Schizosaccharomyces pombe: one gene and its partner. The protein of the gene in region 1 interacts with the protein of each later gene in a pairwise test. Each region holds a gene or a part of one and is shown on either strand. Other genes may lie near its edges. The genes, in order: kms1 and hrs1.

The links.
Region 2: the proteins of kms1 (region 1) and hrs1 interact in a two-hybrid assay, tested with the Schizosaccharomyces pombe proteins (one study listed by BioGRID).

The regions. Positions count from the first base shown.
Region 1 is NC_003424.3:3,460,596-3,464,735, forward strand, and holds the start of kms1 (protein Kms1), read left to right. Parts: upstream 1-2,302; 5' UTR 2,303-2,469; coding exon 2,470-2,532; exon of another isoform or gene 2,533-2,663; coding exon 2,664-3,103; exon of another isoform or gene 3,104-3,149; coding exon 3,150-4,140. UniProt on the Schizosaccharomyces pombe protein: Has a role in karyogamy, recombination and segregation during meiosis. Although it has been shown to associate with the spindle pole body it is unlikely to be involved in its formation or maintenance.
Region 2 is NC_003423.3:3,455,393-3,458,992, reverse strand, and holds hrs1 (histidine--tRNA (His) ligase Hrs1), read right to left. Parts: upstream 1,829-3,600; coding exon 137-1,828; 3' UTR 81-136; downstream 1-80. Other genes in the region: myr1 (N-myristoyltransferase 1), read right to left, coding at 2,193-2,390, 2,434-3,324, 3,388-3,512, 3,583-3,600.

The DNA of each region.
Region 1 (4,140 bases):
AAAATAACTGTATGGAAAAGATATCCAAACAATTCGGAGAGCTTACCAAAAGAAATCACTGTATCGACGAAGAACTTCACGAGTGTTAGAAGAATCAGATATAATATAATTATTATGGCGATAGAAAAAGTAACCACTAGGCTCAAGGTCAATGTCAACATTCATTTCCAAACTAGCGGGAAATGAAGTTGAACTGGAAGCCAATCTAAACGAACTATGTCTACTGTTTGACAGTAACGGCTGAGTGGAAGGGGAAAGGCGATTAGGAATCTTCGAAAAGGGCTTTCTAGGGGTAATAGCATTATCATCGACAGAAGAATCAACGGAAAATTTTGGAGGTTGTTGCGAATGTAAGTTACCTGCTTCTAAAGTCGAAGGTGCAATGCTGCTGACAGTTGAAGAAGGATAGGAAAAGAATCCTTTCGGCTGCTTTTGAATATCAGGAAACGAACGGATGATGCTTTGCTGAGCGTGAGGGAGGGATTTATTGGAGACGTCGTCATCCTCTTGTTCTAAAATTTTTGATTCATTAATGGAAGGGACAATGTTGGATGAAAGATTCAAGGCGGTTGTTGAAGCAGGAGGAGAATTATTAGGAAAAAGAGGGGTTTCATTATCAGAACTACGATTGAAAAGTTCCGGATTAAAACGCTGCAAAATGGGCAGGACTAAGGAGGAGGAAGTAAGCAAAAAGACAAAAAAAAGCAAAGATAAAAAAAAGCCTTACCATTTCTTTGCTTGAAAATCTGTTCCAATGTGCTAGGAACACCTAATTGATAACAGGCAACCAAGGCAAGCAAAACGAAAAACTGAATTTGCCGTAAGGGTTGATTGCTTGATGATTCAATCAAGGTAAAGAACTCTTTCATTACATCTTGAGGAACATGAAATATATCAGAATAACTTTCTTCTTCTGGAAATAAGAGAACATTGTTTGCTTGAAACACGTCCCAATAATTTCGATATTGCAAAGGAATGGATGAATTACCTATAGACAAAAAAAAGAAAAAGAAAAAGGTTAGCATCATTACAGTAAGTAAGTAAAAAAGCAAGAAAGATGAAAAAAAAAAAAATCAAGCTAAAGAAACAAATCAATGATAGAATGCATCGATCCGTAAAATTAACTATTAATTGAGAAGGAAAAAACAGAAGAACAAAACTTTTACTAACCAATTGCTGTTTTATAATTTAAAGGCTTCACTGGTGAACCCCAATTACTGCTAGATGCCCATGGATCAGGCTCTAAAAATACATTATCGCCCATAAATGGAAACCCCGATGTTCTCTATCTTTTCGATGATCACTTCGTACAAAAGAGAAAGAAAACAAAGAAGATTTAATAAAATTTGAAAGCTAAGAGAGGTCCAATTGAAAATGTACAAATAATGCTGCTAGCAAAGAATTCTAAGCTGACAAACGAATTTTTCAAATCTTCACGAAAGTAAATGAATTTTCTTGTCTCTTGCACCAGTTAAAAATAAAATGATACGAGAAATAACTAAACTAGCGTACAGAGGTTTCAAAATATGTAAATGGCAGAAACCAGGTTTTACACGCTCAAACACATATACATATGGACAGTGTTAATTTCGCCAAAAAACCTTTGACGTCACATCGCTCGCTTCTCATAAAGTAACATGCTAACCAACTGTTTTGACTGAGTAGTAGCTATATAGAAAATGTAAATAGAAGACGTTTTCGAAAGAGTTGGCTAAATTGAAAGAAAAAGAAGTAATTTCTGTATTTATTGCACATTCTTGGATGAAAAAATCTGACCTTTTCTATGCATTTCTTTTTTTACGATCAAAACCTTGTATTTTTTAAAAAGTACAATATATACGACGTTGATTGACTAAAACGATTCAAGGATCAAAATATAAGTTAAGTAATCAACCAATCTTATTTGGAGTCTATGAAAGATTCTTGGGCGATCGTTGTTTGACCCGCAATTATAAATGCTGGCGTTCTAAATTACTGCAAATTCGCTTGAAGTTCTCAGAGGAATCGATCGATCTATAAAACAAATACGAATAGTTTCTACTTCACTAAAAATAATTTTTTTTTTTTTTTTTTTTAATTTGCGATTTCATTTGAATTATCACTTAAGTATGCACAGTACGACCAAGTTGTGGCCTTACTTTTCTAGCTGCTCTTAAATCAAGCATAAACATGATTTCTTCTAACATCTTTTTATCTATTTTCAAGTTTTATTTTAATCCGTCTTTTTCTGTGTACTTCTTTTTGGTCTCTCAAACCACTTGCTCAACAGCCCTACTGCCAAACCCTTGGATAGACCTTGCACGAAACCCAACTCACAACACTTAAGAAATGCGGTGAATTCGTGAACTGTTATGAAATGCACGCAGCTTTATGATAAATTCTAACAAAAAAATTCAAAACTGAATCCCATTCCCACTAGAATTGTGGTTCGTTTCCTGTATAATTATAATTGCCAGTTCCCTTTCCAAAATGCTAAATGAACGCGATTTTGACTTGATTTTCGATTCATATGACTTTAAACATGAAGGAAAAGTATGAAAAAAATTGATTGCTTATGCAGGTAGATCTTGTTTATTGAGTCAGAGACAAACTCTCAAGACTCTGGTTTTTCTCGCTTTACCCAATTACCAATAGGATAAACTATTAACAAAAAATTTTCTTAGGTTCATCTTTCCAACTTTTTGCCAATCATCAATGACCTACAACTCTTACATCCCGCTTCTGCACCACCTCTTTTGAGCGAATTCCAAAAACAATGTACACTCGAATTCGTACGGCAAAATGCAGATCTCTCTATTACAAAGGATAATTTTCGAGACGTATATAAAAAACTTACTGAAAACGAAGATGACTCTTTTGCGAATCAAGCTGAAAAGCCTTCGATGGAGCAACAGAATTCCAAAAATTCTATCAAAGAGGATGCAAATGAACACTCTGTCAATTCTGCACATTCAAAATCATCTTCTAATGCCTCTCCTGAATCCTTAAACCCTTCTCAAATGATGTCTAAGAGACTGTCCTTGCCGCCGATGTCTCAATTTACCGACAGTGATTTTGTCAATATTCTTCGAACTCCATTTGCCCAATCTACACCACTAAATAGGTAAGAATTTTTTTTTTAGAAAAGTCATTAAAATTCTAACAAGAAGAAATACGTCGTCCAGAAATACTGAGATGCCACTTGTTAGGAAGGATAAACCTGATTTTTCCAACGGGCACCATGATCTAATCAAGCAAATCACAGAACTCCAGGATATGTTAGATAAAGCTCGAGATCAAGCTAGAAAGAAATCTCGTACTGTAGATATTTTAGAAGGAAAAGTGAATGAACTTACCCACCAACTAAATATGGCAGATTCCAAATATAATGAATCTAAGGTAGCCAATAATTCGCAAAATAACCAAATTAAGACTCTTAAGGCTCAAAATCTAAACATTCACAAAAACTTTCAGAAAATTCAGTCAGAACTCATACAGACAAACTCTGGCCTCTACTCCACAAAAAAAGAGCTTTCAGCCTTGCAAGTTCGGTATGCCACTCTCTTGCGTAAGTTTACAGATCAGACTAAGAAAATTGAGGAATTAAGCTTGGCTGCATCTCGGTCAAGTGAAAATGAGAATACTATTCGTCGGCTTGCTTTAGAGAACCATGAATTAAAAAATTCTAATAATCAGCTAAACAACCACATAGATGATCTTACTAGAGAAAAACATTTAATTGCTTTGTCTAATAACCCAAAAGGAGATGAATTTTTATCACCCTCTAACCTTGACGAAATGGTTTACTCCAAAGAGGTTGGCCTTTCTTTCACTCAACCATCAGTTTGCATTTCTATTCCTGCGGTTGGAATGCGGGAAAGTGAAGAATTAAGAGAATTGGAATTTAAATGTAAACAACAAAAGAAAACGATAGAAGAATGCAAACACATAAGTCAATCATTGCAAAGCTCTCTTACTGCTGAAAGTTCGCGAAACAAAGAATTGGTTGCTGGATTTTTGATGCTTTCAGAGGAAATTGGTATCCAAAAATGGATTATTCAAAGCCTTTCCAAAATGTCTCCAACCCTAAACGACTTTTGTCGTCGGTACGATTCCTCTATGCCAACATATGAAGAATCAAGCCACGAATGCACAGTTCTT
Region 2 (3,600 bases), on another chromosome or scaffold:
TAACAGAACTTACTTTTTAGATTACCGCTCTTTTTGATTGCAGAAAATACGATTTTAATATCTTTATTTAATACTTACAATATTGATGAGATAACAATCAAATAATACAATAATTATTATTGAGCTATAGGAATATTTAATCGTATTTAAGTAACTTTTTCAAAACTGATACCATTTCCTCACGTGGCACAAGCTGACCTTCATCGCTATTTTCTTTTAAACCCATTTGTTTAATACGAACAGATCCCTTTGCAAACTCATCTTGACCCAAAATTACAGCAAAAGGTACGTCGAATTTATCGGCGGCGTCAAATTGTTGACGTGGTTTGGGTTTCACTTTGTAAAGAAATTCTGCTTTAATGCCATTTGCCCAAAGGTCTTTACAAACAGACATACGCTCTTTCAAAAAGCCGGTCCATTCTTTTCCACCTCCAAATGCCATAACGAAAACATCAACATCATTTGCACGGATATCCTCATCAGGAATTTTTGATCTAAGAATTGAAAAAATCCTCTCTAAACCAAGGCTAATGCCAACACAAGGGATTTTGGCGTTTTTCTTTGCAGCAAACATTCCAACTAAATTGTCATAACGTCCACCAGCAGCAATCGAACCAACGCCAATAGAGTCATCATTGGAACGATCTGCTTCAGGATCAGCAGATTTTTTCTTTTCCGCCGAACTCTTAATCTTTGGAGCAGAAGCCTCTGTTACTGCTTCGTAAATGATACCAGTATAATAATCGAGACCACGCGCTAGAGACATATCAAATGAAAACCTATCTAACACTCCAAAAGCTTCCAAATAATCAAATAAAAGACGCATGTCGTTAAATGCAGCAACAGCCGAGCTATTGCTTGATAGTAAACTATCGGCTTCAAGCTTATCTAAAAGAGAGCGGTCGCCTTTTAATAACACATACTCCTTAATTTTATCTGCCACCTCCTCTTTAAGTCCTTTTTCAACCACCATTTCACGTCTGACATCTTCCCAAGGGAGTTTATCTAGCTTGTCCACAGCACTGGAAATGGTACGAATTTTGTCATCCGGTACACCACAAACAGTAAAAATGCCATCCAAAATTTTTCGATGATTAAGCTTGATAGTATAATTTCCAACTTCTAATGCATCTAATGCTTCCACTAAAACCTTTAAAGCTTCAGAATCGGGAATCATAGGATCGTAGTTGCCAGCGATATCAAAATCGCATTGATAAAATTCACGCATACGGCCTTTTGTCATAGCTGGCTGATCTCTTCGATAAACCTTTGCAATATGGAATCGCTTAATACTCGTAACTTTGGGATTCATAGCTAACCAACGAGCAAATGGAACAGTCAAGTCGTATCTCAAAGAACAAAGCTCTCCACCTTGATCTTTCAAATCGTAAATTAGCTTGCTGTCTTCTCCATATTTTCCGGAAAGAATTTCTTTCAATTCGAACACTGGCGTATCGAGTGTTACACCACCATGACGCTTGAATATCTCTGTGACAGTTGAAAAAATGTGCTCACGTAAAACAACATCTTTGTCACACCAATCTTTAGTACCCTTCGGAGTTTTCAGTGTAAAAGATGTGTCTTTTTTCTTTCCTGATACTTCCGAACCCCCAAGTTTGAGGTTTTTCAGTTGAAGTAATTTAGCAACTTCTTTATCAATGTCCTCTTTAGAGGCGCCTTGACTTTTCAAAGATCGAACAAGATTTCCTTGTGAAGTTATTCTTTCATTTATATCTACTAGAGAATCAGCCATAGTTCTCAAGAAACGCCAATTTAAGAGGCTAGACGAAAATTTGGTGGTGAATAGGTTTTTGGTAAAAACAAACATGCACTAACTGAAAATGCAAATCTCAGTATTACATCCATTTAAATACATTTTACGGTGATTGAAGGACTAATGAAACCATTTGTCATGTTGATTAAATAACCAAGAAAAAAATATAGAACCTTGGATAATGAAACATTGAAAATTTTTTGGATTTTATGTTATGCAAACCAAGTGGGATAATTTCATTTGAAAATAAAAACTAGTTATTATATATTTTTTATAAATTTAAAAACCTAATATTTGTGAAATGACAAGTTCTATAAGTAAAAATTTAATATCAAAAAACCTTTTAAAATATGGACTTTTTTAAAATAGTAAAAACACTCAAAAAAATCAAAAATAATGTATTTTAATATTTTAGGATTTAAATCATTACAAAACCCATTCCACTAGGCCTCGAATAATCAACACTTTTAGAAGCATCGATTCCTCCAGGAATTTTTGGACAGTTATAATTATAGATGTAATAGTTCAAAAAACCGTCTCCTTCTCCAAATTTTAGGTCCTTCAAGAATAGATTGTTATCCAAAACCGTAACAGCATTGAATACATCAAAGTGGAACTGTTTTGAATTATTAGCAAGTAATAAAACCATATAAACTTACCTTTTTAGCCAATATAAGAGCATCATTAACTATCAATTTACAACGTTCAACGAATGCCAACTGTGATTCAGAAGATAAGTCTTTTGGACAAGAATCAGAGGCATAGTAGTACAAGTATGCAGCTTGAATATCTTTGTATTTTGGGTTTCCTATTACAGTTGAGGGTAAAGAGTAAAACGAAAAAAAATCGGTAATTTTCTTGGACTCTGGATTCTCCACAACGTAACTCCAAACAACAGGGCCACTTGAAACCTTGTCAGTGTACAAAAACCAATGTCGCACTTCCTCTTCCGAAAATAAGTGGGCAAGTTCGAAACGTTCCATGTATTGAGATAACAGCGACTGAACGGCAGGTACATCTTTCAACTCCATCGGACGTAAACCCGGGGTCTGAGTATTTGGAGGTAAATGATATTTTGCAGTCTCCTTTTTCTCCGTTGACCCCAAGGGAAAAGGTGCGAATCCTATATCGTACAGTTTCTTCCAGTTTAAACTACGATGCATATAACGAGACAAACTCACGGGACTGGGTAATAATACACCGGCTGTATAAACAGCTTGCCAAACATTCTCAAGATGACATCTACGTGTGACTTCTTTAATTAATAAAGGAGTAAGGCGCTTGCTTCTAAGTTTTTTATGTATGCACAAGAAGTTCACTTCAGCACATTTCTTAATAATTTTGTCACGAACCCTAATACTTAAAGGAACAGCAGAAATGAAAGCTACCAACTTACGAGAGGACTTTACTCGTACTCCGACGTGCCATTCTTTTACATATCCAGGGGGCATAAGGGCCCACCTGAGAAACTCTGAGATGTATGCAAACCGAAGCATCGCCGTAGCATCCTCGACATAATTCTCAGTTAAGAGTTCATGAACCTCAGATAACTATAGAAATGTCAGCAAGTTTTGCTTCTTAATACGTAGCAGAAAACATCAAACTACACTAACCTCATTGTCGTTTGTTACATCAATAGTTGCCCACTCAAACTCTTTTAGCAAACGATAAGGTTCTCTAGGAACCTGGTTTATATCGGTATTGGGATCTATTGGGCCTTCTTGAGTACATTCATCATCTATTATGGTAAGCATTAATATGTATAAAAGAATCTCAGAGTATATTTCAACAAACCAGGATAGGCATACCAAACTTAGGAACTGGCT